3 linked regions of the Pelodiscus sinensis genome follow. The protein of the gene in region 1 interacts with the protein of each later gene in a pairwise test. Links are inferred from orthologs where the notes say so. Each region holds a gene or a part of one and is shown on either strand. Other genes may lie near its edges. The genes, in order: UBXN11, EIF4E and RHOBTB3.

Region 1 (7,504 bases):
TGCAGCTGCTCAAGGGCGATTCCAGTGCTGCACAGCTGAGTAGCAGAGTGCCCACTCCTAGGCCTTGGTTCACATAAAAAGTATCCCGCACAGGGGTGGAAAAGATTAGAGAGAACATTGGCAGGGATGTATCTTTAGGGAAGGAGAGGGTGGGGTACGAAGTGTGACATGGTCCCATTCGTCCACCCAAAGACTTCCAAAGCGATGATTACGAAGCATAGAGAGAGAGTACAGTACTCAAAAGATAATACAGTCCACGCTGTGAGGAGGGTCCACTCTAAACAGACAAAGATCAAACACAAAACTGTACTGGGAGACAGAGACCATGGCGCTAGGTTCCAGCAGCTTTTGCTGGGGGTGAGAGGGGAGAGCAGTGGAACTGAATTTGTTTCAGAAAAAAAGAGACGGCAGCCAGGATTAGTGTTTGTGGCCTTGCAAACCCATCCAGAGTCCATGTAGCAAAGCCACAAGACAGCGGTGCAAAAAGAGAGAACTAGAAAGCTTAATGTTTTTCAAAGACAAAACTGTTCTAGTTCTCTCTCATATCATATTGATTTTAAAAATCTTATTTATGTTACTTGTAATTTTGTTAACGTTAATGAGAGGGATTGGTGTGCCAAGTGTGGGAAGAATGAGGGAAGCAGCTAGCTTTGGAATTGTAAAGCATTTGAGAGAGTCTGCATGTTCTAACAAATCCTGGGATTGGGAAAACTAGCTCTTACTAAGCTGATTTCTGACACATGCGGGAAGGAGAGAGAAATCAAGGACAAGAAAAGAACTAAGCACATAACACTTAAATGCAAAACACATAAAGGAAAGAGAGAGGCCTTACTTACCATTGTGGGCACTCAGTTTAAACGAGAGAGTCCTTTTCCTGCATGTAAGAATAGGGAATACAGAAAACAAACAGCAGACCGATTAATTAGCTGCTGCATAATTGGTTTTAGGTATCAGAGACTTGTAAATTACATAAAAAATAATCTTGAAATACATCCACCTCTACTTTCTCCCCAGTTCACCACACAGATAAATCAAACAAGCCCCCACTTTGCTGTCTGTGATGAGTGAGCTCACACACAAACAACATATTTGGAGTTGCTTAACAGTAATTAAGATCACTGGAAGCTACTTCATATAAGGAAAAAGTGAAAAGAAGACAAACAACAAACTCGGCCAACTGTTGCTACGCAGAATTGTGCAATAGTCTTTCTGGCCTCAACTGGGGACCAGCTTGTGCCTCAAGGCCATAGAACCAAGAGCCCCGGGTAATTCTTGCTATCGTAACTGCAGAGACTGCTCTGGATCACTTAGGGCCTCACCGTGGAATCAGGGCTCACAGCTGGAATCAGGATGGCACAATTCTGGATTTTAGGGCTCAATTCTGCAAGGTGCGGAGTGACTCCAGAGTGGTACTGACTGTCGTTACCTTGTACTTACTTCAATGGGACCCAGAATATTGAAAGATCAAGACCAAAGAAGAACCCTCGTATAGCGTGAGGACAAAAGCAGCTGGGATCAAAACTGCACAACTAAGCAAGGGTGGCCACAAATCTTAAAGCAGAAAGAGCCCTCATGTCTCATTTACCCTGGACTCTGTAGCTGCAGTGGGACTCTGCGGTGCTTTCCCAGGGAGGAAAGAGGAGAACTCATGGTTATACCTTAGACAGCTCTAGATCCTAGGGAACAAAGACAGTGTTACAATGCCAGGCGGCGGGATGACACAGAGTGAAGTGCCTTGGGAGAGAAGACTGAGGGGCACGTTGAAAAGCAGACGGCTCCAGGGTGTATTTTATCACCACACACTTAGCGGTTTCCTTCAGAGCAGGGTGGTTGAGCAGACCAAGGAGTTTAGCATGTCATACAGAGCTCATGAGGCTTGGCTGGGTAGACTTCGGAGCTGAGGCTGGAGCCAAAGCTCTGGGATCCTCCCACCATGCAGGGTCCTGCAGCCCAAGCCCAGAAATCTTCTCAGCCATGAAACAGCCCCACAGCCCGAGCCCCAGGAGCCCAAGTCAGATGGCATGGGCTAGCAGCAGGTTTGTCTCTGCTGAGTAGACAGGCCCATAGAAACAACGCTCAGGTATTTCATTCTGGGCCCTGTGGTCTCCACACAGGCGGCAGCCTCCAGGGGAAAAAGGAGGGTGACCACAGTCTGCACCATTTCATGCCAGAAAGTCTCAGGGGGTTAGTCTGTCACTGAAAATACAGAAAACGAGGACGGGTCCCACGGCCCTCAGACAAAGTCTGCCGCTTCCCTCGGGCTGCTCTGGCGGGACAAACTCACGACCTTCTGCCATCACCCTACGACATCACCCCACTCCGGCACGCAAGCGCAATGACATCGCAAACGCCCACAGTGCGACAGGAGGCCTCCCGCCGCCCTGCGCTGACATCCCCGCCCCAGCCTGGAAACACAGCGACAGCCAAAAGCACCCCAGGCACAGCAGTGACCCCCACAATGCCCCCCATGCAAGGCAGTGACCCCCTCAGGTACCCCCCATGCAAGGCAGTGACCCCCCCAGGTACCCCCATGCAAGGCAGTGACCCCCCAGGCACCCCCATGCAAGGCAGTGACCCCCCCAGGTACCCCCATGCAAGGCAGTGACCCCCCAGGTACCCCCATGCAAGGCAGTGACCCCCTCAGGTACCCCCCATGCAAGGCAGTGACCCCCCCCCCAGGTACCCCCATGCAAGGCAGTGACCCCCCCCAGGTACTCCCCAGCACAGTGGTGACCCCCCCAGGTACTCCCCATGCAAGGCAGTGACCCCCCCAGGTACTCCCCAGCACAGTGGTGACCCCCCCAGGCACCCCCATGCAAGGCAGTGACCCCCCCCAGGTACTCCCCAGGCACAGCGGTGACCCCCCGGCACCCCGCAGTGACGTCACAAGGCCTCACGGCGCAAGCCGACGGGCCCGGCCGGGGGGGTCTGTGGCTCGCTGCCCCCACGGGCGGGAGGGACGCGCCGCAGCCCGCCTCGGGCTAGTAACGGACTCACCCTCCCCCCGGCGGGCTCGACCCAGGCGACGCCATTTTGTTTGCCGCGGTTGCCCCGGTGACGGCCGGGCGAGCTGATTGGCTCGTTTAAGGTCACGTGGCTCGACCCCTTCTGAAAAGACTACCAGTCCCAGCATGCAACGCGCTCGGTTTTCTCTCTCTCTCTCTCTCTCTCTCTCTCTGACCTTTCCCCATCCGCCCCCCCGACCTTCCCGGGCCCTTGGTGGGACAAGGCGGGGCTCGGGGCTCCCCCTAACGGGCAGTAGCTGTGGGGACCCCCAAGGGGGAGGGAGGGGTAACCCCCCCAGCTCAGCCCTCCCCCCCAGCACTCGCAGGGCAGGCACGGCCGATAGCCCCGAGGCGCCACTGCCTGCTCTGCACAGGGGTCTTCCTGCCGTCCCAGAGCCCCAAATCATCGGTAACTGCCATCGGTAACCGACATCGGTAACCGACATCGGTAACTGCCATCGGTAACCGACATCGGTAACCGCCATCGGTAACCGCCATCGGTAACCGCCATCGGTAACCGTCATCGGTAACCGCCATCGGTAACCGACATCGGTAACTGCCATCGGTAACTGTCATCGGTAACCGCCATCGGTAACCGCCATCGGTAACCGACATCGGTAACTGTCATCGGTAACAGACATCGGTAACTGCCATCAGTAACTGCCATCGGTAACCGCCATCGGTAACCGACATCGGTAACTGCCATCGTAACTGTCATCAGTAACCAACATTGGTAACTGCCATCGGTAACCGACATCGGTAACTGTCATTGGTAACAGACATCGGTAACTGCCATCAGTAACCGCCATCGGTAACCGCCATCGGTAACCGCCATCGGTAACTGTCATCGGTAACCGTCATCGGTAACTGTCATCGGTAACCACCATCGGTAACTGTCATCGGTAACCGACATCGGTAACTGCCATCAGTAACTGTCATCGGTAACCAACATCGGTAACCGTCATCGGTAACCGCCATCGGTAACTGTCATTGGTAACCGACATCAGTAACCGACATCGGTAATTGTCATCGGTAACCGACATTGGTAACTGCCACCAGTAACTGCCATTGGTAACCGACATTGGTAACTGCCATTGGTAACCGACATTGGTAACCGTCATTGGTAACTGCCATTGGTAATCGACAATGGTAACTATCATCAGTAACCGCCATCGGTAACCTCCATTGGTAACTGCCATCGGTAAGCATCATTGGTAAACATCATCAGTAACAGACATCAGTAACTGCTCCACAGACATGCCTGGCAAGAAGGATAACTCTGTCCCCCTACTGCCCGAGAACTTATTCTTTGCCTTCGGAAGGTTGACTTTGAATAGTCTGGCATGATGTGGACAATGTGAGTTTTAATGACTGTTCTACTCAATGTCAACAGTAATTAAATTCTTGGTCTGAACAGCCCCCAACCATTTTCCACAACCATGAACACTGAAATAGAGTCAAAGTCTCGGGGGTTGCCGAGTGGAGAGAAAAGGGAGGACTCTCAAAATGTATAACAGAAAAAGGGGGGAGTACCTGTCAATTGTAGTGCCGGTGCTAATGAGGCTAATATGGAAAGATACTTTCAAATAAATTTGATATTTGTCCAAATTATACAAAAAATACAAATCAAATTCTGCCAAGCCTGCGCAGAGGGGAGGCATGCAAGACGAGAGAAGGTTCTTCCACTGCTCCAGCTTGTGTTGCCTTGTTCCCCAGGAGAGGAGTCCCTCTGTTGTGCATTTCCCTAATGCACATACTTCCAGACCAACAAAAGAGCGATTCCTCCTCTCTCTCAGCCCCAGACATATCCCCACGTTTGGAAGGGTCTCTTGGGCTCTATGCTCCACCATCTTGTCTGCAGCGGTTGCCCTGGTTACAACTAGGCGCAACTTCCCATGCAAAACCAGTGCTGCACATCAGCGGAAAACCATCCACCTGCCTTGCTACTGGCTCTGTATAAAATGCAAAGGGGGTGTGAGTTACTGAACAGACGGTGACAGTCCCTGAAGCAAGGACCCCATGCGTGCAGCCCCCAGCTCTGGCACCCCTTCTTCCCACCACTGCCCCCCCGATCTCCACATTCACCTCCACTGGGATCACTTCTCCCTCCAACTGCCCCCCCATATTACTGCCCCCCCACTGCATGTGTCCCACTAGCTGCCTTCCCCAAAGAGCCCATTGCACCTACCCATCCACTGCCCCTCCCCCCACTACATATTATTATATCTGCCTAAAGGGATGAAGCCTGAGGGAATCCCTGGCCTCTGGGGACAGATCAAGTGCTAGGAGGCCTTAACCCCGCCTCCCATTAAAGGAGCAGTCCCTGAGGGATCCCCCGATGGGATATAAGAGGATGGATGAGGCATAACCCCCTTGTTAATGGGGCCAGTGTGTCCCCATCCCGACACACAGTGGCAGGGAAACAACAGTCCCCCCTCTATAGTCGGGCACTGAGAGGGGAAGCGACTTGCCCCAGGAAATGGCACACGGCAGAGCCCAGCTCCCCTCTGGGCTAGGCCTGTACTCGAACCGCAGGGTTCAGGCTGGCTCGCCCTTGCAGTGTACTTGGGAGGCTCATGGTTTTGGGATTTTAAAGCCTCAGCACCTGGAGTCACATTGCTCCATGAGGCGCTCTGCATTCCAGTAAGCAGCGTCGCCAGACTCGTGCCTGTGGAGAACAGATGAACTTAAAATCCCACGGCTGTGTTCAGCTTTGTGAACTGATTATGCCGGGTGTTGTCAACACTTTTGCACTCCCACGCTCAGCTGCAAACAGACTTTCTAGTTGTCATTTCATGGTTCCTTCCCTTCTCTCACTTTGTTTTTCTGACCACTTCTTTCTTCCTGTTTTCTCGGATCCGCTGTACCATTTACAAAAACTCTATCAACAAAAGATTTTTAAATATCCAAGGTGGCTGTTGGGTCGTCATCATGCTGTTTCTGGGGAACCCTTCTCGCCCATCTTTTATTGGGCCAAGCTCTGTCGATGGTGCCATGCCGATTGACAATAGCTAGGAATCTTACCTACTTGACCTGCTGATTTTGTGCTAAGAGCTTTAGATTACCACACTCGCGCCTCTCATGGGCTGAGAACTGTCCCCAACAGACTTTCATCTCTACACTTCTGCTTACTGAAATTAGCCAAAAAAGGAGATCTAAAATAGCTACAGCAAAGTCTCCCATTTCTGTTTCTTTCAGATGTTGCCTTTTACTCCTTTCTCTTTCCAGACACTGATATGTTTCATACGCACAAAGAAATCCCACATAAATGGGCCTATTTTATCCCTGCGTCTGGAATATTTTGGCCAATTGCTTTTTTCAAGCTGCCTTAAAAAGGCACAGAAGAGGCTGGCCTAATTCTACTGACACCGGTGTGAATCGGGAGTAACTTCACTGAAGTCAAGGGAGTATAAAACGGGTGAAAACTCCAGGGAAGCTCACTGGATTTGCGTAGTTGCCGCTGAAGGTTACAAGGAAATGTTACTGTGCGATATCTAATCTAATCTAGCATCTTGCTAGCATCCGTTTCTCAGTACAACTGTCCACATTCGGGAGTTAGGAAATGCTTGTCACCATCAGCTGGCTTCAAAGTAGAGCTGTAAAAGTTTTGAAGAGAGAGGGGCCTCGGCCCTGATCAAAGAACCTCTGAGCGTTGTGGACTTGCCAGCTAGATCGGAATTTTGCAGTTGAATCTATTTCTAGTTTTCTGTTGCAGAAGAAGAGGGCTTGTTACCAAACCCAGCATGCAGGCCAAGAGAGCAGAAAGTTTGGCTCAAGTTTGCACACATCCCAGTGAGCCCAGGCTGCTTTATGGCTTTCGGTGAAAACTCCGATTACGATTGTTTGGAGGTTTCTAGAAAAACTTGAGCACGGGAGCGGGGGAACCAAGGCAAAGTACAGATCCACCCCGTCCTCTCCAGGGTGTGAGCCCCAGGTGGCCCTGTGCTTTGGGGACCAAGCACTTCCTGGAATGGAGGGAGACGAGAAGACTGACAAGCTGGCCTGTGATCGGGGGTCCTTGCAGAACTCCCACCCCAGCTGCCAAACTCTCCTGCAACCCCTTCCGGCAGCTTCAAGAGAGTCAACCCAAGCCCGTTGTGATGCCACAACCCCTCACAATCCTCCCCCCCATACACAGCATCACCACCTCCCCAGGAACCAACTCCATTAACCGCCAGTCCAGATGTGCAGTTTACAATCTGTCCGCCTCAGCCCCCTGGCATCAAAACCCCTGGCTCGTTTCGGTCGGGGTTGGAGAATTGCCCATACAGAGAGGCTGTGGTTTTACCAGTGCAGCTGTCTGGTTTGCTGTTGTGTTGGGGTAGGGGCTGGATGGGGGGGGAGGGGGTGATCAGTGGTATGATGAGCATAGTGTCAGCAAAGCCATGCTGAACAGCCGCCCAAGTGCTAGCAGTGTCTAGGCGTGGCAGGGAGCTTGCAAGGTTTGATTGGCAGATGCTCTGCTACAGGCACACTTAGAGCTTCTGCTTGTGTGCTAG
Region 2 (7,630 bases), on another chromosome or scaffold:
TGTGTGTGTGTGTGAGGGGGGATTTTCAGGCCAATATGTGTAATGCAGGGGGCACCTGGTTAAGAACATACATGACTGTCACGTCACTGTCTGGTCATTCATGAAACTAGTTTTTAAAGCTTCTCTGATTTTCGGTGCTCCTTGATATGCTCTCCTTATTGCCTTGGTATCTGGCTGCTCAGAATTAGCGGCTAGATGATCTGCCTCAACCCCATATCTGCCAGAAACTTTCCCCCCTTACTTTCACAGATATTATGAAGCACACAATAAAAGGCCATAACAATGGGAATGTTGCTTTCACTAAGCGCTAACCTAGTCAATAAACTGTGAAAGTGTCCTTTAAACTGCCCAAAGCACATTCCACCACGATTCGGCACTTGCTCAGCCTTTAGTTGAACTGTTCTTTACTGATGTCCAGGCTGCCTATGTACAATTTCATGAGCCATAGGAGCAAGGGGTGGCTGGGTCTCCAAGGATAGCTATTGGCATTTCAATGTCTTTAATGGTAATTTTCCAGTGTGGGAAGAAAGTTTCAACTTGCAGCTTTCTGAAGAGACCAAAATTCCTAAAGATGCGCATGTCATGCACTTTTTCCTATCATCCCATGTTGATATAAGTGAAATGGCCCTTGTGATCCACCAGTGTTTTCAACACCATTGAGAAGTATGTCTAGTGGTTTATGTACTCTTTGGCAAGGTGATCTGGTGCCAAGATAGAGATGTGAGTTCCATCTATCGTCCCACCACAGTTACAGAACCCCACTGCAGCAAAGCTGTCCACAATGTCCTGCACATTTCCCAGGGTCACTATTCATCCTAGCATGAAGGTATTGATTGCACTGACTACTTACATCACAGTAGCCTCTATGGTAGATTTACCCACTCTGAATTGATTCCCAGATGACCACTAGCAGTCTGGCATTGCAAGCTTCCAGAAGGCTATTGCCACTCACTTCCCTGAGTGGGTATCTTTCTGATATTGCTGAGTTTCAGTGTGGGGGAAAGCAATTGGCAAAGTTCAATGAAAGTGGCCTTATGCATGCGAAAGTTCTGCAGCCACAAGTCATCATCCCTGTGACAGGGTGGCTGCCATGCCCCGCACAATTGCGGTGCCATCCCCGGCATGCTGGGAAGAAGTGGTGGCCCTTCGCTGGCTCTGGCCCTGTGCAGCTTGCTCCGCTGTGCTCAAAGGAGGTACTAGGGGTGCGGACGGGCAGGGAGCGCCCGAGCTTGCATAGCCCCGACGAGAGCAGGGAAGCCGCGGGGCTGGCGGGCCAGCGCTGCCAGAGGCAGCGCATGCTTGAGGTTCAGGGCAGCTCCAGCACGGCCGGAGGTAGCGGACAGCCAGGGAGGGAGAGCGTTGGGAGGAGCGGACGCAGGCCCTGCCCCTGGTGCACCGGACGTCGCAGCAGCAGGACGCCTAAAAGGAGCGCCGCCGCCAGAAGCTAGGGGAGGAGAGCCGAAGTACAGAGGGCCAAGGAGGGCCGAGGTGCACGGAGGCATGGAGCCCAGAGGAAAGGAGAGTGACAGAGGGAGATGCCCAATAGGAGGACTTGCGGAGGCTGCAAGAGCCACCCCTCTGGGGGCCACTGGACAAAACTGCCACAGTGGCTCAGTGGCGGAGGTAGGAAGTGACCCAGGGCAGGGTATTAATCCCGAGAGGTTGGTGTGTTTCGGGGCGGATTCTTCCCCTCACCAACTGGAGCTGGGGCGCAGTCCCCAGTCCTTAGGACCCTGGGTCGGGGCTTGGAGTGGGGGCGGGCCTGAGTCCCACTACCTCACCTCACCGGCCCGCCGACGCACCAGAGGAGAGGACTGTAGGAGAGGACCACCCCTGCCAGATACGGGGCAGGGTGGGTGATGGGGAGCACGCAGCGTGGGGTTTTTGTTGCATGGGACTGACAGCCAGGGCCGGACGGAGGCATGGGCGAGCTGGGCAGCTGCCCAGGGTGCCAACCCACGGGGGGGTGCCTGATGGTAGCCGTAAGGGGCACACGGCGTTCCACGAGGCGTACAGCTAGTTCGGAATAGGAAGCCTAATACGAACTAGCTAGTCCGTGCTGTGTGTAGCTGCACGGCACGGGGTCCGAACTAGCCGGCATTTAAAAATGGCGCCGGCCGGCATCATGCAAATGAAGCCCGGGAAATTCAAATCCCGGGCTTCATTTGCAACTCCGAATGACTACATTACCCCCCTAGTTCGAACTAGGGGGGTAGTGTAGACATACCCTATGTGGTTCCGCCAATCTGTGCTTGTCAAATAGGGCCAGAATTGGCGTTCTACTGTGTCAACAGGATTGACTGCCACCAGCATATGCTCCACTCAATGGTTTCATGAATATCTGTTTTCGTGGCCTCCCCACATTCTTCCTCACTCTGGTGGCTCCTGGTTAGGCACTGGACAAACCACAGTATAATGTGCAGGGAGTTTGCAATGCTTGCCACAGCAGTCTGAGGCTGACCAGGGTCCAGTCTTGCCATACTATGGCATCTGCATGGATAACCAGGGAAATAAGGGTGCAAAAAATTGTTTGCCATTGCTTTCAAGCAGGGGTGTGTGTGTGATAAGTGCTTTATAAGAGGCTGATGACATGTACGCAGAGCCACCTGCTGCAATGTTTTTGTCCCATCAGGTACTGGGATGCAAAGAAGCAGCAGGAATTGTGCAATGGATACCCTCGGAGCATCTTTGTCAAAGTCAAAGGTACAGGCAGTCCCCAGGTTACATGGATCCGACTTACATCAGATCCCTACTTACAAACGGGGTGAGGCAACCCCGCACTAGCTGCTTCCCCCCAGCAGACCAGGGAGACGCGGAGCGGCTTTTCTCAGCAGACACCTCAGCTTGAGAATAAATGACTGAGGGAAGTGAGGTGGGAGAGAATAAAACTGAGCTCTGGAGAAATGTTTGGCTAGAGTTTCCCCTACAATATGTACCAGTTCCGACTTACATACAAATTCAACTTAAGAACAAACCTACAGTCTCTATCGTGTACGTAACCCGGGGATTGCCTGTAGCTACTTTATTGAGTGATAGAGATGCAGCCGTGTTAGTCTGGTCTAGCTGAAACAAAAGACAGGATTATGCAGCACTTTAAAGACTAACAAGATGGTTTATTAGGTGATGAGCTTTCGTGGGCCAGACCCACTTCCTCAGATCAATTTGTGGAAGAAAATTGGCATGACCATATACACCATATATATATATATACCTTAACAAAGATGCTAATTATCTCACCCATTACAAAGATAGCTTCCCCAATTATCACCCCTAATATCATTACCTTACAGACACTAACCTTCCCCCTCACCCTGCCTCTGTTCTAAAATCTGATTCGTCGATTTTATATGTGTTCACTTTTTTTGATTGTATCACTTTGGTATATATGGTCATGCCAATTTTCTTCCACAAATTTATCTAAGGGAGTGGATCTGGCCCACGAAAGCTCATCACCTAATAAACCATCTTGTTAGTCTTTAAAGTGTTGCATAGTCCTGTCTTTTGTTTTACCTTAGTGAGGACACACTACATCCAACTCATGTGTCCAGTGAAGACATGCACCTTCAACTTTGTAAACAGGGATATTGAACCAACATAATCAACTCTGCACCACTGCTTTCTCAGCTCCAGGTATAGATGATTTGGCCAAGACAAAGGGACATGACCAATGGAAAGGGGGCATAGCCAAGAACTTGCGCCCTTTAGCAAACTTGAACTACAAGAGTGGCCTTTGTGGGGCCATTGGCAGTTGGAATAGTTTATAGCAGCCCTGTGGTGCAGAATCAGCCCCAGGATCAGGAAGCTACAAATGGATGCTGTGCGCTCCCTTCTCCTCATGTGTCTAGAATCTCAGCTGAATTTTTTTACAAGGGTGAGAGGGTATCATATGACCCTTTAAGGAATGGCTACATTTATTGTGAGTAGATTGGTGTGCTTTTTGTGTGTTGTACCAACAGTATTATGATTGGGCTCCAGCTCTCTGTTATTCCCAGCCCAGGACTTCAAGACTTTCACTTTAATTTATTAAACTGTTGATCAAATAAAATGAGTCATGCAAAATGTGATTATGGATCACATTTAGAGCATGGCATTGCTTAGGTGATCATGATTTTGATTTAAAAAATTGTTTTGTTTTCCACTGTCAATGACTGTTCATAGAATCACAGAAATTATAGGAGAAAAACATCTATTAAACCAATTAGTCCATCAACTAGCAGTTTTTGGATTGTTCCAAAAGTGCAATCAAGTGTTTTGCTTTACTATAACTTTAGATAGGGTTTTCAGCACTTCCTTTAATAGATTATTTCAATACCCAATAGACTTCATTGTTAAGAATTTTTTAAAATCTCATATTTGGCCTAAATTTTCCTTTGCTGGATTTTATCTCATTACTAATTATTATACTGTTGGGACCACACTAAAGAACTCCATTATTCATTGGTGTTTATAGGTGTTTCCTGTGATATAAAAGTACTCTGCCAGATCCATTAGAACTTGGTAAGATGAAAACATGACATCTCCAAGGCAACCCAGGTGCTATCTGTACATTCTAAAGAACTTTTGTTTGGAATCATAATGCTTCGAAAGTTATACTGAAGGTGAAAACTACAATGGACAGGTATGTATTTACTCACTTGCTAGTTAGGAGTTTACAACTAAAAGTCTGAGGGTATGTCTAGACTGCGGGGGTTTTCCAGGATACTGGAGAAACTCTGGAAAAACTCCACCGCATCCAGGGAATGCATTTGCTCTTCTGCTTTTTTCTGTGGAAGAGCAAACGTGCTCTTTCAGAAGCCCTGACTTCCTCGTTGTACGAGGAAGAAGGGATCTTCTGAAAGAGGGGGATTTTCCAAAATTTGGCCCAGTGTAAACCAAAAATCAGAAAAAGGTGTAGTGTAGATCTAGCCGGCGTGACAGGTTAATGGGTGTGTTGGGAATCCAGAGCTAAATGTAAAACTGAAAGGTATTTGGTTACCCTCTCTCACTGAAATAAAGGCAGAAAAAAAGGAAGTAAGAACATCCTGAACAACTTTATTCAGGGATAGAGTCATAACCACATTTCTTTTCTTCCTCGCAGGCTAAAAGAGTTACCAGTGGAATGCTGTAGAGATTGTCTCCTGGGCACAGTGAATATCAGAAAGAGACTGTTGGTAAGACTTCTTGTAACAATAGGAACACATAAAGACCAATGATAATTTTATATTTATGAAAGCTGCTTTTGGAGTAAAGTAGTTTTCCTGTAAATAAAAATATTTCCCCGTGTTTTATTGTTAGTCCAACTTCAGTTTACAATTCTCTGTCTTTCTTGTACACTCCTAGACTGTTGCTTGTATAAACTTGAAAAACAACATATAGTCTGGTAGCACTTGAAAGAGTAACAAAACATGTCAATGTTTTGTTAGTCTTCAAAGTGCTACCAGACAATTTGTTGTTTTTTAAGTTTATCTTGTACAGACTAACTCAGCTTCCCCCTGTTGCTTTTATGTTAGATTTAAGGAGAAACATGTTTCTAATTTTCCCCTCACCTTGGACCTGCTGAATATAATTCTTGACTATGTAAGGTTTGAGCATCAAGTTAACTAAAACATTTTCAAAACAATAAGAAATCAACTTAAACAAAATTGAAATAGACAAACAGTCCAAACTACATGTCTATGCCCAGAAGACAGCACTGATTTACATAAATCAGGGATTATATTTTATATAAACCAGCCTGAGAGAGTGGACACTTAATGTCACTTCCCTCAAAACATGCTACTGTCCCCATTATGTATGGATCAGAGAGACAAATCTTAGGCCTGAGAACTGATAAAAATAATATAGGAGTTATATACTGGTAGCATAATTCATCTGGATCTGTATGAACCTTCTATAACATTTGTCACAACTTCCTTTGTCATCACGCCAGCATATACAGATTTACTTGTTTTTAAATGTTTCCATAAAAAGTCAGTGCTTCTACGCTTTAACTCCTATATTGCCTCCAATTTGTCAACATCTTACTGGTACTCAGAATTGTGTATAGTATTCTAGACACAGAATAGCATATGAGTGTAGTAGTACAAAGAAGGATGTTTCTGGTGATCTGAGGCCATTGTATATTTAATCTAAACGTCATGCACTTTTTAGGCTGCCATGTAACTTGTTGCCATATTTCTTCATAAATAATTGACTAATATCTGAAAACTTCCTGGTGAATAAAAAATCTTCATAATAAAATTCTTATTTGTCCAATACTCGACTGAAAAATCTTGTTCTTACTGAAGTGATTTGTTCATGGCCAGTCTCAAGTGCATGATAGATGTCAAAAGTGGGCTTGTTTTTTCTGGTTTCCATGAATAATAAGCATTTTATTTATTTCATGTAACTTGCTGATTAAGAGTTTTCTTCTCAAAACAATCAAGTGACATTTATAAAGCTGCAGTTTTTAGTTTTTATTTCCTTATTTTGAGCAAGGCAGTTGCATTTGATTTTCTTGCTGTTAATAATAAATTAAGAGTATCAATTCTTAAGCTGGTGCTGAGGAAGTGGGAAGCTTTCTTTGTCATCAAGAAGAGATTGGAAGTACCTGTTTTTTAGGAAAAAGGAAAAATAATTACAACTGTATACGTTGGTACAATGACAGAGGAAGTTATGACCCAAATACTCTGCAACTGTAGAGATGCTGTCTGCCAGCTCTGCTCCCGGGAGGTTTTGTAACCTGCAGCATGTAACTGTGTAACCGCTAGGATTTTAGCAGTAACGGGGTTATCGTTTTAAATGAATTTTTACATCCCTATAGAGAGACATGGTGGGTAAGGTAATATCTTTTATTGAACCAACTTCTGTTTATAAAGAGAGATAGGTGTAGGAATGGTCCCTTACTATCTCTGCTAACTACTTATGCTAAACAATCTGTTGCACTTACATTTTGCTGTGATGCTGGTAGTACCCTCGCCAGACCTGAATAAGAGCTCTGTCTGGCTCAAAAGCTTGTCTCTTGTATGAGCAGGAGTTTCTGCAGTAAGAGATATTGCCTCGCCACTTTGTCTTTCTAAGCATATGTCTACACTTAAAATGCTACAGCAGCAGCACTGTAGAGCTTGAGTGCAGACACAACCCTCCCAAGTGGAAAGGTTGCCACCAGCATAGATAATCCACTTCCCAGAGATTTTTCACACCTCAGAGCGAAACAAGTAAGCCAACTTAATTTTCTAACACAGAGGGGTAGCCGAGTTAGTCTGTAACAGGAAAAACTTAAAAAACAGTTTAGTTGCACTTAAAAGACTAACAAAACATGTAGATGGTATCATGAGCTTTCATGGGCACAGTCTGAAGAAGTGGGTTGTGCCCAGGAAAGCTCATGATACCATCTACATGTTCTGTTAGTCTTTAAAGTGCTACTAGACTATTTGTTGTTAATTTTTTTTTAATACCGACCAGCCTAATCTGGCATTAGGGTTGCCAGGTGTTCAGTTTTGACCCAGACAGTCCAGTATTTGAGCTTTCTGTTCCGGAAACAAATTGAGAAAATCTACATGAGAAACTAGAACTGTCCGGTATTTTCTAAATAAGATGTAATGTAGATTGTGATTATCTTCCCATTGAGGAGGGCGTCTCAGTCTCCTCTGGACTGAGGGTGCCCTGGTGC
Region 3 (7,738 bases), on another chromosome or scaffold:
TACATAAATATGTTTGCATGGGTGTGGAATAAAATTGAATTTATGAAAGTGAATGAATCTTTAAATAATTATCCAACATATGATGACTACTGCTAATGTAACTCACACACCTATTGGGTGTGTTTCACTGTCCAGTTAGTGGCCCTTAGACCACTTACAGAGCAAGAAAAATGAGTTTGCTGTACAGCCTTAGCTGAGAGCCACCTGGCTTTATAACTCAAGTACTAGAGGCTCATGCATTAAGCTCCTGATTAAGGTCCCTGGTTCAGTTTTGCCTGTTTGGGTTACACTAACATTCAGAGTCCATACCAACAGGTAGGTACATTTGAAGTGTTATAGTAGCATACACAGAAACATGCCATGAGATGAGGGAGCTTCTGGCTTGCTCAGCTCCAGCCCCTGACAACCAAGCCTGGGCAGGCTGCTCAGGTAGAAATAGCTCCATCTCACTCCCAACCTAGTTGCCCACTGAACTCTCGATTGATGTCAATGAAATGATCCAAGCGATCCACTAGCAATTGCAATATCATAGAAAACTAGCCCTTTGTGTCGATGTACTCCATCTCAAGGTGGTCTGAGGCCAAAATGGGAATTTTTGTGCCATCTATTGTCTCACCATGATTAGGGAATCCTATTGCTGCAAAGCTATCCATTATTTCATGTACAGTGTCCAAAGTTACAGTCTTTTGTCGCAGGAGACAATGACCCAGCACACTTGCATCACTGGAAACCCCATAGTGGATTTCCCCACTCGGATCTGACTCACAACTGATTAGCAGCAGTCTGGTGTCGCCAGGTTCCACACAGCGATCAGCACTCATGTCTCTACTGTTACTGCAGCTCTCATTTTGATGTTCCTGTGGTGGAGGGTTTGAGAAAACTCTGCGAACAGTTGCTGGAAGATGGCTTTGTGCATCCAGAATTTCTGCAGCTGTTGCTTGTCATCCTGTATCTTCATAACAATGTGATCCCAAAACTCGGGTGCTTGTTTTTCAAGCCCAGGACTTTTGACAGTGGCCTGTACCAGATGCTTCAGAGGGAATGGACAGAGCAGGGCAATTTTGAGTGATTCATTAAATTGTCCAGTCCCAGCTAGGGATGTGAACGACTAGTCAACTACCCGATAAGCAAATGCTTATTGGATAGTCGACACACTAGTCGACTAGTTGCTCCCCCTGCCGCTGCCTCTATCAGAAAGATGCAGCAGGGTAGGGAGGGAGAGGAAGAAGTGCTTCAAAGTGGCAGCACCACATGGAGCCCTGGACCAGACCCTGGGCTCCACATGGCACTGCTGCTTTGAAATGCCCTGTGGAGCCGAGGGCCAGCTGGTGAGTCCCCCGTTGGCCTCACGCTTCATGTGGTGCTGCTGCTTTGAAACACTGCAGGGAACACTGGGCCAGTGGGAGACAGTTGGGGGAGGAGTGCATGTCCCCCAACTGGGGGACAGACATAAAAACTCTTTGAAATATATAGTAAATACCTGTCCTTTTCTCCACCCCTAACGCCTGCTGGCCCAATGGGGTTATAGCTGGACACTACTTATCACAGGTGGCCCCTGGGTGGCGGGGCAGGGAGGCTAAGGCAGTCTCACCTCTGCCCTGGCTCTGTACCACTCTCCAAAGTAGCCAGCAAACTCCATCCTTCTCAAGCCCTGTTGTCCCCCCCACACTCCATTCTGTGGAAATAGAACACAGGGTAGGAGAGGGGGCATCCTGACATCAGCGTCCCGCCTTTATCTCCCCTGCTCTGCACAGCAAGCAGGAGGGACAACTCCAAGGCAAAGGGCAAGAGTTGCACAGGAACGGGGGAAGGGGCAGCTGAAGTGCTGTGCTTGATAGCCTCTTGGCCAAACCAGTCAGGGTCACCTGTCAAAGGCTCCAAGATCTACTACGTGACCACTGGACTACATATAAATTGCAGAGCTACAGCAGAGGTAGGTGTCATGTTACTGGATTTTAAGGAAGCAGCCAGATCACTGCAGCACCCATGGGGCAGGGGTTGTTGGCTCCAAAAGTGGTACAAAGGGGGCCATGTGAAGTGTCAAATAGAAGCATACTTTCTTCTGATTCCATATATGTTATTCATGTACTTGTATAATGTCTGTGTGTGGGTAAGGTGCAGAGTATAAATTGACCTGGGATCTGTGGCTGGTTTCTTGGAACCGGACAGAACTTGTTAAGGGAAGGAGAGATTGGTTTCTAAATCCCTCACTTATGTATGAGGCCTGGGGCCATCTGGGGCACGGATATTGCTGGGGTGTCGTAGGGGTTTTGCTTGTGAGGCTGCTGGCTGGCCAGGCAGGCAGCTGAAGTGCTCTGTGGGATTGGTTTGTGGCCTATTTGGAAAGGTCTCCAGTCTGGGGGGCTATAGAGAGCCCCGAATTTGAGCAATTTGCCCTGAGCAAATGCCCTCAGCTGTGCCCAGACCCAGCCCGGTCTGTCACAGTAGGTTCGGAACCCGGCTTGTGCCAGGTCCTGGACTGCTGTGTCTCTGCTTTTTTAAAATCTGGCTCTTACCACCTGGCTCTTACCACATTTAAAAAGGAGAAGCGCAGTGGTCTGGGACCTGGCGTAAACCATATCTGCTGAGTCCTGGCTCGCACCGGGTCCCCCACTGCGCCTCTGCCTTTTAAATGTAGTAAGAACCTAGGGCAGCAGTCTGGGAGCCAGGGGGCTCTTACTACATTTAAAAAGCAGAGCCGCAGTGAATTCCATACCACTGTGCTTCTGCCTCCCCTGCCCCGCTTCTCCCCACACCACCTTCTAAGCTGGCTCCTCCCCAGGACCAGCTCCTGCTCCCCCTCACCTCTTTGCTGCCTCTGAAACAGTGACTCGACTAGTTGCTTACATTCCTATTCTGGCCTCTTGCTACCCTCCGTGTCATTCTACAATATAATTGTCCTCTGATCAGACCCCCCCCCCCTTTCCATTTTATGAGAAACAATCAAATTCCAGGCACTTTGGCTGTGCCAATGAGTTGGCACAACCAAAACCTTACCTTGTTTTTGAGTTGTGATAAAAGAAAGCTGCCTACCAAAACTGGTGATCCTAGCTCTTACCATTTAAGAGCTCTTGAACGAACAAACCCATAGACATAGAGTCAAAATTTCCAAAATATATAGTAGATTATCTTTTCTAAATTTCCAGCAGATCCAGTTTTTTAAATCTTTCTTTGTGGGGATATTATATACCCATAATCATTTTCATTGTGCTTTTCTTCATCTTTTCTATATCTTTTCTGAGATGAGGTGACCAGAATTGCATGCAGTATTCAAGGTGTGGGCATACATTGGAGATATATGTTGACATTATACTACTTTATTTTTTATTATCTATTCCTTTTTAATGGTTCCTACGTTCTGTTTACTTTTTTGACTGACACTGCACACACTGGATTTTTTTCAGAGAAATATCCCCATGACTCCAAAAATATCTTTCTTGAATGGTAACAGCTAATTTAGATGCTATTGAATGGATAGTTGGGATTGTTTTCCAATGTGCATTACTTTGCATTTATCAATATTGCATTTTATTTGCCATTTTCTTTCTCCATCACCCAGTTTGTGAGATCCTTTTATAACTCGTCACAGTTAGCCTCGTCACAGTTAGCCTATCTGGAATAATTTTGTAGCACGCACAAATTTTCTACCTCACCATTTCCCCTTTTCCAAATCATTACTGAATATTTTGAATGGCACTGGTCCCAGTACAGATCCATAGGAATGCCACTTTTTACTTTTATTGTGAAAACTGACCATTTATTCCTACTCTTGGTTTTCTTTGTACTAGACAAAGGATTTTACCTAATATAGAAGTGTAAAGTCTGAGATTATATTTATATTTATGTTTATATTCTGTGTAACCTGGATAGTTATGCTTGCCCTCTATGTCAGTGTTTCTTAAACTATGTTCCGCAGAACACTGGTGTTCCGTGAGCAACTCACAGGTATGCTGTGACCTCTTGTTTTTGTTACTTCTTTTTGTCTTTTTTTGTCTGACAAAAATTTTTTTGTTTTGAAGAAAATTTTCATAGATGTTACACAAAAATATTGTTTTGTGTTCCATGATCTCAAAGAATTTAAGAAACAGTGCTCTATGTCATCTCTGAATTAGGTTTTTTTTTTCTCTTAACCTTTTAATTTTCTTCCAAAGCAGGTCTCTTGTGTTCAAATTGTGTGTATGGTGGGTGCTGAATTAAATTATATCTAGGGTTCTGGTTTAATGCTTCCAAGTATGACAAACCAGAGGGGAATGATCCAAGTGTCTGGTGGTAAAGAACTCATCTGAATTTTCCAAGACATTGCCTATTATGAATAAAGTGGATCAACAAAATATTATCTCCACTTGCAGAAGAGGCCATTACTAAAATATTACTGTAGTAAAATGTGTATCCTTTCCTTTCTTCCAAGGCTCCCATTGCTCCCAATCCCCCTTCTCCACTTCATTGCCCACGCACACCTGTCCCATTCTGGTTACACTATTGCACCAGCTCCCTGTTCAGCCAAGGGAGGATGGAGAGAGCAGGGCAAGTCACCAGTTGGCTCAGAGTTCCTGGCCGCCTTTACTGCAGCAGCAGCCCCTTAACGGCTGGAGCACCGAAAGCAGGCGCTTGCCAGCTGGCCCTGAGAGCAGGCTACAGGTTCCCGCTCTTTCCGCCAGAGGCCCCACCCCTTCCGGGGCGTGGAGCTACCCCCTCCCCACTTGCTCCACCGGCCGGATGAGATCCCCACGGCTGCCGGTCTCCAAAGCGCTCAGCACCTGCCCACGCGCACTGCAGTGCCGGCCTCCCCGCCAGGGGGTAATGCAGACCGGCTCCATCCTCCGGCGTCCCTCGCGTGACGCGCAGGTACGAGCTCGTCACGTGTCACATGACGCTCAGTGCTGCGCTGGCCTAGAGTTCTCTTGTCACGTGCTTCTCCGCGGCACCTTTGGCTGAAGCGCTGCTCGCCGGCCGTTGGCAGGGTCGGCCGCTGTTGCCGGACGCATCCAGGGGTACGTGACAGTTGTTTTCTACTGACGGAGAACGCTTGGCGCGAGCTCTTCTAAACGGGTTATGAGGGTCACCTTGCGCGGTGCTTGCTGGGTGTTGTAGTTTTCTTTGCGGGGTGGCCTCTGAGGCTGCTGCGGCGGCGCAGTGGGGTTTCTGTCTGTGACGTATCGGAAGAGGTATGACGGCGCGGGGGGAGGAACCCAGTGCGCGCTCCTGTGTCGTTACGATCAGTATGTTTGAAAATGTTACATTTAGAATCAGTACTAGAAATCAGGAGTGTACAATTCCCTGCCTAACAAAGCTAGCTGTGAAAGCGGAATGAGCCCTGCTCAAGTTAATGTAGTCCTGAGACTCTAATAATTAATATAAACTCTTAATTAGAAATAAAAACATGGGCTGAGCTGTAACTGGGGTGGTTGAACTGCCTGAAAGAGCTGTAAAGTTATTTGATTTATGCATAATCAGCTCGTAAAAAGTCTGGAAAGTGCCATGGGGGTATTTCTACTAGTTGCAGGGGCTGCAGGAATATTTGATGGAGAATGATTTGCTTGCCATGCATGAATGGCCATAGGAATGTCATAAGAACGTATACACATCATATATATAGTAGCCCAGTGTCTGTGAGTCTGTAACGCTGAAATGCTGACTGTTCCCTCTGGGTGGCCCGTGCTGCATGGGGAGTGCGGGGCCCAAACGGCCGCTTGCTTCCCCGTGGCGGCCTGGCTGAGTGGTGCAGATGTCAGCTGAGCGCCATGGCGGGAAAGGGAGTGAGGTGGTGACGTGCGGCATGACAGCGGCTCCAGGCCCTGCCCCCTGGCTGTGAATGTCACCGTCTTCCCCCCTTCGCCTCCCGCCGTGGCGCTCGGCTGACTTCTGTGCCACTCAGCCAGGCCGCCGCATGGGAGCAAGTGGTGCAAGAGGCTGTTTGGGCTCCACGCTCCCCATACAGCACGGGGAGTGTGGAGCCCAAAAGGCCATTTGGGCTCCACGGTCCCCCGAGTGAGAGGCAGGAGGGGGAGGAGAAGAGAGAGAGAGGGAGGCAGTAGGAGGAGAAGAAAGAGGGAGAGAGAGACGCAGTGAGAGATCAGAGGCTCAGGAAAGACAACCAACGTGGAGGAGAGACCTGAAAATCCCGTTTTATGACGGGCTAATTGGCTAGTTTTAAAAGAATATGACTCCAAGATACATCTGGAGAAGGCAGATATGAGAATTATTTATAAGGAGTAAAGAAGAAAACAACTTTCAGAAATCTCTCATGTTCTGTTATCAGCCCAGCCTCAGCCTTCCTCTTATCGGTTCTGCCAACATTCATTTCAGCCTTTTTTGTGCTGCTAAGACCAATTCCTCTGTGTTTCAGAAAACCTTTTTCAATAAAGAAGAACTTAAAGAATTGATACATATGAGAACAAAACGGGTGTGGGATGTGATGGAGCTATAGAACTGGTGCTGCACTTGTTAATTTGAAACTTCGTCCCTTCATCCATTCTTCATCTCTGTCATGTGCTAGCATGGATCTAAGGTATTGATGTGACTTACGTTAAGGAGCTAAATTGCTTTGACCCTCTTTAGAGTTTGATTCTGTCCCATTTTTGGTTACTCCTTCTCCCCCCCCTCAATTCGTCTCAGTACATATGAAGACATTTTTTTAATTTTGTTTTTCTTTTGTAGGTAAACCTTAACACTTGTATTATTTTAAATCAGTGTATGTCCCCAACTCTGACATTGTCTAAAAAGTAGTTTTAGCTCATTTGCTTTTCTTTATAGGGAGGGCTGGTTTTTGTTTGCTTTTGGAGATACTCCTATATCAGTAGTTCTTAAACTTTTGGCCTGTGGCCCAACCCACTCAGTGCAAACCTTTCTGAGGATCACCAGCCAACCAACCATGTTGACAAAATAGGTGCAGGAGGGAGTGGTGGTGTGGGTTTTGGGTGGGAAGTAGGGTGCAGGCAGGCCCGCTGATGTGGGGGAGGAGCAAAGAGGGCAATTGCCCTGGGGCCGGGCCACTCAAAAGGCACTGGAACTTCTTTGAACTGCTGCAGAAGCACAGGATGTGCCACTCCACACAGCTTTGAGGGCTGGGGGAGGAAGAAACACCACAGTCTGGGTGGCGCTAAGGTCTGACTGCCCTCAGCTCCACCTCTTTGGGGGGTGTGGATCTGGTTCCTTTCACCTTGCCCCAGGGCCCAACGTGGCTGTTGGCCCCACTGGGTGCAGGGCTAACAGTGGAAAATTGGGTGCAGAAGTGGGTAGGGGATCTGGTCGGACGTCCCATCATCTCTCGTATTGGCACGCTCACTACTGGTCTATCCAGCTATGTAGACTCTCTCCTCAAACCCTACGCAACCAACACCCCCAGCTATCTCCGAGACACTACTGACTTCCTAAGGAAACTACAAAACATCGATAACCTCCCCAATAACATCATCCTTGCCACCATGGATGTAGAAGCTCTGTACACCAATATCCCACATGAATACGGATTACAAGCAATTAGAAACACTATCCCAGAGGACACCACTGCCAACCTGATAGCAGACCTATGTAACTTTGTTCTCACCCACAATTATTTCCAGTTTGAGAACAACTTATACCTCCAGATCAGCGGCACAGCCATGGGTACACGCATGGCCCCGCAGCATGCTAATATCTTTATGGCTGACCTAGAACAACGTTTCCTCAACTCCCGTCCCCTTTTGCCCCTTCTCTACCTACGGTACATCGATGACATCTTTATGATCTGGACGCATGG

The links.
Region 2: the proteins of UBXN11 (region 1) and EIF4E interact in binary tests that used the Homo sapiens proteins (3 or more experiments, as listed by UniProt). The link is inferred for Pelodiscus sinensis from reciprocal best matches to the Homo sapiens genes UBXN11 and EIF4E.
Region 3: the proteins of UBXN11 (region 1) and RHOBTB3 interact in binary tests that used the Homo sapiens proteins (3 or more experiments, as listed by UniProt). The two-hybrid records come from large-scale screens. The link is inferred for Pelodiscus sinensis from reciprocal best matches to the Homo sapiens genes UBXN11 and RHOBTB3.

What each region holds. Positions count from the first base shown.
Region 1 is NC_134735.1:1,833,123-1,840,626, forward strand, and holds the start of UBXN11 (UBX domain-containing protein 11), read right to left. Parts: upstream 3,065-7,504; 5' UTR 3,033-3,064; coding exon of another isoform or gene 2,998-3,032; intron 1,677-2,997; 5' UTR 1,651-1,676; coding exon 1,586-1,650; intron 1,210-1,585; exon of another isoform or gene 998-1,209; intron 875-997; coding exon 837-874; intron 1-836. UniProt on the Homo sapiens protein: May be involved in the reorganization of actin cytoskeleton mediated by RND1, RND2 and RND3. Promotes RHOA activation mediated by GNA12 and GNA13.
Region 2 is NC_134715.1:22,622,051-22,629,680, reverse strand, and holds the start of EIF4E (eukaryotic translation initiation factor 4E), read left to right. Parts: upstream 1-4,595; 5' UTR 4,596-4,610; coding exon 4,611-4,618; intron 4,619-5,077; coding exon 5,078-5,150; intron 5,151-7,630. UniProt on the Homo sapiens protein: Acts in the cytoplasm to initiate and regulate protein synthesis and is required in the nucleus for export of a subset of mRNAs from the nucleus to the cytoplasm which promotes processes such as RNA capping, processing and splicing.
Region 3 is NC_134716.1:71,203,516-71,211,253, reverse strand, and holds the start of RHOBTB3 (rho-related BTB domain-containing protein 3), read left to right. Parts: upstream 1-4,710; 5' UTR 4,711-4,716; coding exon of another isoform or gene 4,717-4,845; intron 4,846-4,852; exon of another isoform or gene 4,853-4,991; intron 4,992-5,197; exon of another isoform or gene 5,198-5,219; intron 5,220-6,367; exon of another isoform or gene 6,368-6,497; coding exon of another isoform or gene 6,498-6,508; intron 6,509-7,738. Other genes in the region: RFESD (Rieske domain-containing protein), read left to right, coding at 4,717-4,845. UniProt on the Homo sapiens protein: Rab9-regulated ATPase required for endosome to Golgi transport. Involved in transport vesicle docking at the Golgi complex, possibly by participating in release M6PRBP1/TIP47 from vesicles to permit their efficient docking and fusion at the Golgi.